3 linked regions of the Sus scrofa genome follow. The protein of the gene in region 2 interacts with the protein of the main gene of each other region in a biochemical or structural test. Links are inferred from orthologs where the notes say so. Each region holds a gene or a part of one and is shown on either strand. Other genes may lie near its edges.

Evidence for each region.
Region 1: the proteins of PCNA (region 2) and KMT5A form a complex in vitro, tested with the Homo sapiens proteins (4 studies listed by BioGRID, with this or other methods). The link is inferred for Sus scrofa from reciprocal best matches to the Homo sapiens genes PCNA and KMT5A.
Region 3: the proteins of PCNA (region 2) and POLD1 form a complex in vitro, tested with the Homo sapiens proteins (4 studies listed by BioGRID, with this or other methods). The link is inferred for Sus scrofa from reciprocal best matches to the Homo sapiens genes PCNA and POLD1.

Annotation. Positions count from the first base shown.
Region 1 is NC_010456.5:29,536,922-29,540,567, reverse strand, and holds part of KMT5A (N-lysine methyltransferase KMT5A), read left to right. Parts: intron 1-2,894; exon of another isoform or gene 2,895-2,943; coding exon of another isoform or gene 2,944-2,964; intron 2,965-3,232; coding exon 3,233-3,354; intron 3,355-3,646. UniProt on the Homo sapiens protein: Protein-lysine N-methyltransferase that monomethylates both histones and non-histone proteins. Specifically monomethylates 'Lys-20' of histone H4 (H4K20me1).
Region 2 is NC_010459.5:14,140,249-14,143,994, forward strand, and holds the start of PCNA (proliferating cell nuclear antigen), read right to left. Parts: upstream 2,337-3,746; 5' UTR 2,296-2,336; coding exon 2,075-2,295; intron 1,179-2,074; coding exon 1,081-1,178; intron 922-1,080; coding exon 854-921; intron 121-853; coding exon 1-120. UniProt on the Homo sapiens protein: Auxiliary protein of DNA polymerase delta and epsilon, is involved in the control of eukaryotic DNA replication by increasing the polymerase's processibility during elongation of the leading strand.
Region 3 is NC_010448.4:55,264,837-55,268,482, forward strand, and holds part of POLD1 (DNA polymerase delta catalytic subunit), read left to right. Parts: intron 1-2,362; coding exon 2,363-2,458; intron 2,459-2,564; coding exon 2,565-2,702; intron 2,703-3,646. UniProt on the Homo sapiens protein: As the catalytic component of the trimeric (Pol-delta3 complex) and tetrameric DNA polymerase delta complexes (Pol-delta4 complex), plays a crucial role in high fidelity genome replication, including in lagging strand synthesis, and repair.

The sequences.
Region 1 (3,646 bases), on a different chromosome or scaffold from region 2:
AGCTATTAGTATCGTTGCTGTTGAATTCTAGTTTGTTTGGTTTTTTTTGGCCGCACCCATGGCATGTAGAAGTTCCCAGGCCAGGGGCTGAACCCGAACCACAGCAGTGACAATGCCGAGTCCTTAACCCACTGTGCCAACAGGGAATTCCTGAATTCTGTTTCTATGAGATCCTGGGCAACAGTAAGAGATTTTCTTTCTGTTAATTGGTAAATGTATTTGTTTTTTTTTGTTTTTTTTGGTTTTTTTTTTTTTTGTTTTTTTTTGTTTTTTTTTTTTTTGTCTTTTTGCTATTTCTTGGGCCGCTCCCGCGGCATATGGAGGTTCCCAGGCTAGGGGTCGAATCGGAGCTGTAGCCACTGGCCTACGCCAGGGCCACAGCAACGTGGGATCCGAGCCGCGTCTGCAACCTACATCACAGCTCACGGCAACGCCGGATCGTTAACCCACTGAGCAAGGGCAGGGACCGAACCCGCAACCTCATGGTTCCTAGTCGGATTCGTTAACCACTGCGCCACGACGGGAACTCCTGTATTTGTTATATATGTGTGAACACCTCATGTACAGAGAAAACATGTTTTGAAACTTCACTGAATGATCTCTACTACATTTTCTAGGTACTAGAGCTTCAGAATTGAGAGGAATAGGTACTAGACTTGCATTTTAATGTATGCCCTGCATTTGTAGGCTGGAGAAAACTACAGCCATGAGTGTGTGTGTGTATGTGTGTGTGGTGTGTGTGTGTGTGTGTGTGTGTGTGTGTGTGTGTGTGTAGTGGGGGTGGGGAGTTAAAATAGTATGAGAAGTGGACAAGATGATCTGAGCAGCTGCTTGCTGCCTCCAAATCATGATTTCCATAATAGTTTGGCATCAAACTACAAACCTGTTCTGCTCTGCAGAGGTAACAGACACTTTCAAATAGCTCAACCTGGGTGCCAGAATGTCGCTTTAGAATCCTCTTTAACTCTCTGTGTAGTCTCTTCAGTCTTCATGTGGGCAGAGTACCACCAGAGTTAGTGGTTGGGTGGGGATGGGGGAGGGGCTCCTCAGCCCTGCTCTGAAGGATGCTAAAGCATGAGCTGATTTGGGAGGCATTGTCCTGAGCAGTGTCTTGCCATTTAATCCACTCTTATCCCTTCTAAGGGGAGGCAGCTGTTTAAAGTGACAGCCATTTGTTTATTTGTGGATTTTGGAAGGTGCCCTGGGTGGGTTATGGAATTCATAGTTCTTGGTTTATTTTTGCTGTTGTTGTTGGTTTTTGTTTTTGTTTTTTTTTTTTTGTCTTTCTGCCATTTCTTGGGCCACTCTTGTGGCATATGGAGGTTCCCAGGCTAGGGGTCAAATTGGAGCTGTAGCCACCGGCCTACACCAGAGCCACAGCAATTCGGGATCCGAGCCACATCTGTGACCTACACCACAGCTCACAGCAACGCTGGATCCTTAACCTACTGAGCAAGGGCAGGGATCGAATCCGAAACCTCATGGTTCCTAGTCAGATTCGTTAACCACTGAACCACAACGGGAACTCCCATAGCTCTTGGTTTTTATCCATGAGGATGCTGAGATCTAGACTGGGTCTCAAAGCACCTCTGGGGCAGATGCAGGGAGAGATACCCAATCTTTGTCTTCCAGGCCATAACCCAAGGCTAGATGTCCTGAGGTGTCTTGTTTGCATCTATGACTTTGCACAAATACAGAGACTCTTTGGCTGTGGGCCCTCAAACCCCAATGGCTACGCTACAGCACAGTGGTTCAGGGCAATAAGCTATGCTGAGATAACTGCACTGCCTAGAACTCCTGCTTGCCTCAGACATTTTCTCTTTGGGGGACAGGAGGCTTGGGTGACTTGCTAAACCGTTCTCTAACACACTTGCTCCTTCCTACTTATTTCCTCATCTGTAACCAGGAAGATAGTGGCTAAGACTACAGCCTCTGGGGTCTGTTGGCCTGGAAATCTATTTCTAGTTCTGAGAATTTGGCCAAGCTTCTCACTTTTCTGAGCATTATTTTCCCTATCTGTGGAGGAGGTAATAATGGTGACTACCTTCACCCGGCTGCTGTGAGGTTTGACTGAGATAAGATATGCAAGAGAAGCACCCAGCAAACACACCATTATAATTCCTGGCTCTGTCTCCCCAGGGTCTGCACCGGTGCCGTGCAGACCAAGTGGGTTTGACACCTGACCTGGTCATGTTCTAGTTCAGGTGGCCTTAGGCAAGCAGCTGCACTTCCCCAGAGGCTCAGTATCTTCATCAAAACGGGCTATGCACAGGACCTGCCCCCCCGGACTTGCCGGAAAGATTAAGTGCCCGGAAAACGTTCTGTGAGCACAGGCTCGGGCACCCCGGAGGGCTCTCTCGCCTGTCGCATTCACCGCTGCTGACTGCGCCTGGCTCGGACGGGTCTCCCGAAATATCTGAGGAGCGGGCCAGAGAAGGACCCTGGCGGGCGAAAGCCGGGGCTGTCATTATCATTTTTCCCACCCCTTCCTCCCGGAGTGGCTGAGAACGTGCGAGAGGGGGCGCGCCCGAGTCGGGATTCGTCGCGGCCGCGGGGCCCGCCCTCCCTCCCTCGCTCCCCTCCCTTCCTCCCTCCCTCGGGAGGAGCCTTGCAGCACCGCCCCTGCCAGCCCCCTCCCCGGCCGGGAGCGGACGGTGGGCGGTGGCGGCGGCGGCGGCTAGCAGGCGGGCCGCGGGGGACGCGCCGCCAGCGCCTCCCTCCCTGCGTCCTCGCTCCCGGGCTGGCCCGGGCTGCCGCGGCGCGCGGGTGCCGGGCCCTGCCTCGCAGGCCATGGGGGAAGGGGGCGCCGTGGGGCGCCGCCGGCCCTTCCCCGGGGCGCCGCGCCGGCGCTGGTGGCGGCGGCAGCAGCAGCAACAGCGGCAGCGGCAGCGCTGGTGGCCGGGCCGCGGCGGCGGCGGCGGCGAGGGCGAGGGGCGCGCCGCCATGGGCCTGGCCGGGCTGCAGGTGGGTGTGTCGGGCCCGGCCGCGCGGGGGGCGGGCGGCGCGCGGGGCCCGGCCGGGCCGGGCGGCGGGAGGGCGACGCGGGCCCCGGCCTGGCCCGGCCGGCCGGCCTCGGCCTCTCGGCGGCACGGGCGGCCCGTCGCCGCCGGGTCCTCGGAATATGGCTGCGGCGGGAGGCGCCGCCGCGGCGCCCGGCCCGGGCGGCCCCGCTCCCCGCCCCGCCGCGCCCTGAGCGCCCCCTCCCCCGCTTCCCCCGGGTCCCCCTCTCCAGGCAGGAAGATGTCCAAGCCCCGCGCGGTGGAGGCGGCGGCGGCGGCGGCGGCGGTGGCAGCGACGGCCCCGGGCCCGGAGATGGTGGAGCGGAGGGGCCCGGGGAGGCCCCGCACCAATGGGGTAAGCAGGCACCCTCCCCGCACTCGCTCCGCGCGCCCAGAAGGGCCATGCGCCCCCGCCGGCCCCGCTCCGATAGCACGTGGGCGCGCCGGCGGCCCTGGGGCTGGGGTGCGGGTGGGGCGCCCCGCCGGGCAGCTGCCTGCCTGGGAGTGGCGTCCACACTCGCTCCGCCATGACCCTGGCAATGTTTGACCTCGGAAAAGTTTGTGTCTTTATGACATTTCCGTAACCCTAGACCTAGCCACCGCCGTGGTGACTGCCTTCCCAGTGTGTGCGGGGCCTGCCCGGGGCC
Region 2 (3,746 bases):
AAATTTCACTCCATCTTTTGCACAGGAAATTACAACAGCATCTCCAATGTGACTGAGATCTCGGCATATACGTGCAAATTCACCAGAAGGCATCTTTACTACACAGCTGTACTCTTGTTCCTATGAAACAAGGAAACTTAAGTTCAATGAATGGAAATGAAAGATTTGGCACCCTTACTGTCTGAAGACTCAGCATTTAAACAAGAGAATTTAAGGTTTTCTAATTATTTTGAAATATCACTTTGTGTAATTTCTTAACATACTCTAACCACTCAAAACGTAAACACAGTTATAGAACAAGAATGTTATAAAATAATCAAAGGAAACAAATAAGAACTTGAACTTTTATAGTAAATGCACTGTCCAGGGAACAAGAGCCTCCCCTTAAATGATCTACAGGGTTAAATCAAGAGAACATTAGGGTATAGCACACACACAATGACGGTGCTAACAGGCCGTCATTTTTTTGAAAAACAAAACAAGAAAATACAATTACTAGGCATATTAAACATCCAAACCCTCTTCTCTCATTTAATGTTGATAAACCAAAGCATAATGAATTTCTGCTAAAGTAGCTTTAAAATGTACTCAATAAAAAATTAAGCATTGTAGGAATAAAAAGAAGAGAGTCAATTAGGTTAATGCAAATATGCATGTGGCAGCAATCAATTCAAAACAATGAGCCATTGCAGAATACCATCATTTATATCAGTCTAAATACTCGGATTTGGAACATACATGAGCAGATATACAGAAAAAGCTCTTTTAGGAAGTAGGCTTTATTATATTAATATATTTTATGTAACTATCATGACTGTATGTAGTATGCTCAATCAGAAACTTTGATACTCACTGGAATTCCAAGTTGCTCAACATCTAAATCCATTAACTTCATTTCATAGTCTGAAACCTTTTCCTGATCTACCAAAAGAAAGCAAACGATGAAGAAAAACATGTAGGTTTATAATTGTGATAAATTTTACAATTACCACAAACTATCTTAAATTTCTCTCAGCTTTGGGAAATAAAGACACTGCATTCTAATCTCCTCTAGCATTAACTCAGAAGGGTGTAACTTACTTGGAGCTTCAAACACTAGTGCCAAGGTGTCTGCATTATCTTCTGCCCTTAGCGTAATGATGTCTTCATTGCCAGCACATTTTAGTATTTTGGACATGCTGGAACACAGGAGACAAGAGTTTAAAATCGACACCATCTTCTCAAGATCGTTAGCTTTCTAACTCAATTAAAACCATGAGTTACCACTTTTAACCACTGGACCACGTGTCGAATTGGCGAGTTTGGGAAACGTACTGCAGGAAGATGTAAGAGAGTCCAGCCGTTTTGGAATGCAATCTGCCAGTATTTATACTTATACGAAAAAGCCCACACCCCACAATGTGCAATTTCGCTTCGGGATATTAAAAAAAAGACCAGTATTTTAGAAAGTACAAATCCCTTTGGTGGGTGAAGTAAATTATTGGGCCGCGACGATCTTAGATTTTAATGTACCCACTGAAGCACCAGTCTATTATATTGAGTGTAGCACGGGTAAACACTTTTCACAAGCTTTAAAACTTAAACATGTGTATGTACTAGGAAAGGTAGTGATCAAAAAGTTTAAAACCACTGTCCTTCCTGGAGAAATTTTTCCTCAAATCCAGGATCTTAGGATGTTCACTGCAACTTTGCGGTAAAAAAGTAAGCTATTGTCCATATCACGGCGACAGAAGTAGGGCAAATTATAAAGCGGCTCATCTAAAGGCGCCTGCAATTAATAACCAAGGGCTCCGCAACAATCTTTTCCTGGCACCGCGAAGAAGCCCGTCGTTTTCCCGCCACCACTTGCTTTGTGACTTTGGCGCGGAAACAGCCGGTTCGCGCTGCAGTCAGCGCGGGCTTTCCGAACCGCGCGCTCTGCTACTGGTCCCGCCCCCCCGCCCCGCGCCACAGGCCAATAAGAAAGGTGCAGATATCCCACGCCAGCCAATAAGGGCCCGCCTTATGGGCGCTCCCGCCAAGAGCGGAGGTAGGGGTGTCCGCGGGCCCGACAGTCTGCGGCTTCGGGACTCACCTGGTGAGGTTCACGCCCATGGCCAAATTGCGGTCGCAGCGGTACGTGTCGAAGCCCTCGGAGCGCAGGGTGAGCTGCACCAAAGAGACATGAGACGAGTCCATGCTCTGCAGGTTCACGCCGCTGGAGCTGATGTCCCAGCAGGCCTCGTTGATGAGGTCTTTAAGCGCTTCCAGCACCTTCTTCAGGATAGAGCCCTGGACCAGGCGCGCCTCGAACATGGTGGTGGAATCACAACGACGCGGCTACAGGTGGAAGAAAGAAGGAAGGAGTAGCCGGCTTAGGCTTCAGAAGTTGAGAGAGAGCAGGAAAACACCACAACAGAGCCTGAACCGGAGGACGCACACTGCCAGCCGGCCGCGCCTGCAGCGGTTTAATACAGCCGCGTCTGCGAGCGCGCGCTACGCCCCCACGCCCTTCATGGCTACGTCACCACGCTGCCCCGCCCACTGCCTGGGCGGAGAGGCTGCGGAGCCAATCGTGTCCCTGCTCCACATGAAGCCCGTCCCACCCCGAACATCCATTGGAGAGTGTGGGCGTAGGGGCGGGGCAGGAATCTTGCGCCTAACGAGGGCCTGCTGATAGGCATCCTGCGGGGCTCCCCGCCTTTTTGTCGTGTTCCGGCGCCCGGACGTTAGACAAGTCGGGGCAAGTGTGAAGGTCAGGCCTAGGCTTGGGGGGGGGTCGTTGAGGTGGCTTTGTGGTGCCTCATCAATTTCCCGCTTGAGGGATGGGACATTTACAGCCTTGAAAGTGAAGGTGAAACGGAAATCCAGCCTTCTAGGAGGAAGAGCCACCATGCGCCTAAAGAGTATAGCTACTTTAAATATGCACTTTTTTCCCCCTGCTATTATAGAGTAGCAATTATAGAAGCGTTCCTAAAAGTGAACAATAAAGAGATGTACAGTTATGATTAAAAGAAAACAGTTATCGTGGCTCCCCACTGCCATCGCCTCCCCCACCACACACACACCAAACTATCGTTTACTGCATACAACTTTCTAAGCTTTTTTTTTTGTACAAATGTACTTTTAAAAACAAAATTCAGGAGTTCCCGTCGTGGCGCAGTGGTTAACGAATCCGACTAGGAACCATGAGGTTGCGGGTTCGAACCCTGGCCTTGCTCAGCGGGTTAAGGATCCGGCGTTGCTGTGAGCTGTGGTATAGGTTGCAGATGCGGCTGAGATTCTGAGTTGCTGTGGCTCTGGAGTAGTAGGCTGGTGGCTACAGCTCCGATTGGACCCCTAGCCTGGGAACCTCCATGTGCCGCGGGAGCTGCCCTAGAAAAGACAAAAATAAATAAATAATTAAATAAAAACAAAATTCAGGGAGTTCCCCTAGTAGCGCAGTGGAAACAATCCGATTAGGAACCCTGAGGTTGCGGCTCGATCCCTGGCCTTGCTCAGTGAGTTAAGGATCAGGCGTTGCCGTGAGCTGTGGTGTAGGTCACAGACGCGGCTTGGATCTGGAGTTGCTGTGGCATAGGCCAGCAGCTGTAGCTCGTATTCTACCCGCAGCCTGGGAACTTCCCTATGCCTCGGGCGCGGCCCTGAAAACAAAAAACAAAAAAACGGTTTATACTGTAAACACTTATGCAAAATACTTAACAAAGTATGTTTAATTTTATGCCACGTACTTCTTTTCTACATCATCATCTCTTTAAAAAAAGATT
Region 3 (3,646 bases), on a different chromosome or scaffold from region 2:
TTGCCCAGCCTACCAGGAATACAGATGGTGACAGCCAGCAGTAAATGCTGCTCGCAAAGCTATTGGTGCCAGGGGTTCTGTAGATAAAGTCGGAGAGGGACGGGCGTGGCCGGGCGGGGTGGGCGGAGGCCGAGACCGAGGGAGGGCAGCAGTCTTGCTCATTCTTTCCGTCTGTCACACAGCCACCTAACAGACCCTAGGTCCCTGGCAGTCTCCACCCCAGCCCATCTCCTCCCCTGGTCCCCACGAGGAGAGGGGAGCAGAGAGCAGGTTTCCTCCCCCTTCCTAAGGGGGCTAGGGCAAGGCCGGAGGTCAGCCAGCGGCCTTGTCAAGCTCTTGCACTTGATATGCTATGTGTCCTCCGTGTCCGTCTTGTCCCTGCGTGAGCACCCCAGTGGGGACGCTTGGCAGATGCTAGAACAGTGTTCTGCTCCAAGAGGAGTGTGGGCAGAAAAGCCCACTGCCTCCCTCCCTGCCCACAGCAGCATCCTAGGCCTGTTTGCTCTGCTGCTCAGACAGGAAGGCAAGACCACAGGGGGCCTGGGTCTCCAAAATTCTGCCAAGCTGGGTTCAGTGCCTCAGCTCCTGGCCTACAAGGTTCTTAGGAAAGTCTTCTGTGTAGCCCCTTCCCCTAGGGTTTGGGGCCTGGCATATTCCAGACTTGGTTACCTCCAGCCACGGGGAGCTCCCTCCCTGATACTGTGTCCTCACATGGCTCTGGGTGAAAGACTTGGAAGAATGGGCAGCAGGCGGGGCTGGGGCCACTTATGCTGGGAGGGGCCTTGTGCACACCCCCTGTACACACTTGGAGTTGAGGGGCCCCCAAGCCCATCCTCAGATCCAGTGATTCACTAGAAGGATTCAGAGGCTCAGAAAAGCAGTTAAGCTCATGGTTGTGATTTATTGCCGCGACAGGCTGGGGATTAACATCGGCCAAAGGAAAGGCGCGTGGGGCAGAGTCCAGGGGGACCAAGCACAAGCTCCCAGGTGTCCCCCGGCTCCTGTGGACGGTGTTGTTCCTCCCAGCATGGAGGCTGAGCTGCACACACCTGGTCCTGCCCATCAGGGACGCTCACCTGAGCATTGGTGTCCTGGGTTTTTATTGGAGATCAGTTGTGGAGGCAGGGAGCCCCGTGTGACTGACCCTAGTGACTCAGTCTCCTGGCCGTCCAGAGGTCAAACTGATCCCATGTGGCCCAAGGTCCCTGCCGTAAATCACATTAGCACAGGTCACTTGGTGTGACCCAAGGTCCCAAGTGAACAAAGACGCTTGTGAAGCAGGACATGCCGAGGGCTCCCAAGCACCCACAAAGAGCCAGGTGCCTCTCTGGGCAAAGTGCATCTCTTAGACAGGCCACCCTTACCCCGCGGACTTGCCCTTCCTAATCCCTGGGGGCCACCTCCAGCCTCCTTGGTGGAAAGAAGTGGGTGTTTGATCATCAGCTTCCAGCCCCCTATGGGGAGACCAGGCAGGAGGCTGGGGCTTTTCCTCCCCTGGGGCTTCTCGTCATCGCAGCTGTTGCTTCCTGGCCTTCTCTCTCTCTCATCTCCCTCTCAGCCCCTTCCCTCTGTCTCTGTTTTGTTTTGGTGTCTTAGCCTCTTTCCCTGTTTCTGTCTCTCAAGCTTATGGGGGCAGGGGAATGAAGGAAAACAAATACACAGCCAGAATACTGAGTCATTCCTGAAAAGGCAAGGAAAGAACAGGGAACAGAGAGCAGGCGGAACAGATGAAAGACAGTCCAGTGGTAGGTTTAAGCCCAGATGCAATTGGTGATTACACTAAACATAAGTGGCTCAAACACTGTCCTTAAAGACCAGGATTTTCTGACTGGATCCAAACAGAAACACCCATTTATCCTTGGTGTGTCCCTCCTCCTTTCCCAGCCTGTTTCCTTATTTGTAGAAGGTTATTGAAGACGAATGGGCTCTCTCGAGGCACTGGTACAGCCCCCTCCCTTGGAGGGGAGGCATTTAACAGCTGGTGGGGTCACTTCCAATTGCCCAAGGATGGGCGGGCAGGACCAGGAAGGTCCAGGGTCCTGCGCCTCGGACAGGAGAGCTACCCGGAATGTCGCTGGATGTGGAGAGAAATACCAAGCTGATGGCCTCGTCTGGCTCCAGCCTTTCCGCTGCTCGTTTACTGCAGTCAGTTCCGCCTCTGCCCTGAGCTCTGGCCCGGGGATCCATTTCTTTCCATTAAGGAGCAGTTCAGCAGCCCCATTTCGCAGGTTTGGAAGCTGAGACCCAGAGGGTGGCGGAGTAGCGCACCCGCCAGGTCCACACCCGTAGGAAGCAGCGGAAGTGGGACTACCATCCTGTGTGGCCCCTGGGCCCTCACGCCGCGTGGTTCTCTCCCCAACAGAGCGTCACTGGGTTCGGGCGCCAGATGATCGAGAAGACAAAGCAGCTGGTGGAGTCCAAGTACACGGTGGAGAACGGCTACGGCACCAGCGCCAAGGTGGGGCCTCCTCCTGTCCGCCTGAGTTGGGCCTGGGGCTGGTGTGGAGAGCGCAGGGGCCAACGACGTCTCCCCGCCTCCCCCGGGCACATGCGCCCCTCCCCAGGTGGTGTACGGCGACACCGACTCCGTCATGTGCCGATTTGGCGTCTCCTCTGTGGCCGAGGCGATGGCCCTGGGGCGCGAGGCCGCAGACTGGGTGTCTGGCCACTTCCCCGCGCCCATCCGGCTGGAGTTTGAGAAAGTAAGTGCCCCCCCCACTCCCACCCCCCCGAGACCTGGTAGGCAGGCGTGGGTCTTGCCAGCTTGGGGCGTCTCTCTTAGGATGCCTACAGAGTTTAAGAATGCATTCAGGAGTTCCCATCGTGGTTTAGTGGAAATGAATCTGACTAGTATCCATGGGGACACAGGTTCGATCCCTAGCCTCGCTCAGCGGGTTAAGAATCAGGCTTTGCCGTGAGCTGTGGTGTAGGTTGCAGATGTGGCTCGGATCTGGGGTGGCTGTGGCTGTGGCGTAGGCTGGCAGCTGCTGCTCCAATTCCACCCCTAGCCTGGGAACCTCCATATCCTGCCAGTGTGGCCCTAGAAAGACCAAAAACAAAAACAAAACAAAAGTGTGCATTTGTGGGAGTTCCCACTGTGGCACAACAGGGTTGACAGTGTCTCTGCAGCACTAGGACGCAGGTTCGATCCCTGGTCCAGCACAATGGGTTAGGGATCTGGTGTTGCTGCAGCCGTGGCCTGGGTGGAAACTAGCTGGGATCCGCTCCCTGGCCCGGGAACTCCATGTGCCACAGGATGACCGAAAAAGAACACATTTGTGTGGGCTTCTCCTCTACCTCAGCATCTGGGAAGCCCCAGTGTTGTCAGGGTGTCGATGTTGGGGTGCTCTGGCTATCCCATTCTTTAGTTCATGACCCGCCGTGTCGAGGTATTTTGCTGCCTGAACCCTGAGTTCAGGACGTGGGCTTCTCTGAACAGGAGGGTGTCTGTTTTCTGGAGACCCTGTCCGCCTGGGGGAGCTGCTCTGTGCAGCAGGGACCCTGACCGGGGTGATTCCTGGATCCCAACACTGTTGTCCTTGCTCCCCAGCACCCAGCACGTGACAGGCCTGGGTCTGGGAGCCCTCAGGCCATATTCCTCCCCACCCCTCAGAGCTGGGGTCAGGGCTTGGGGTGCGCCTGCTCT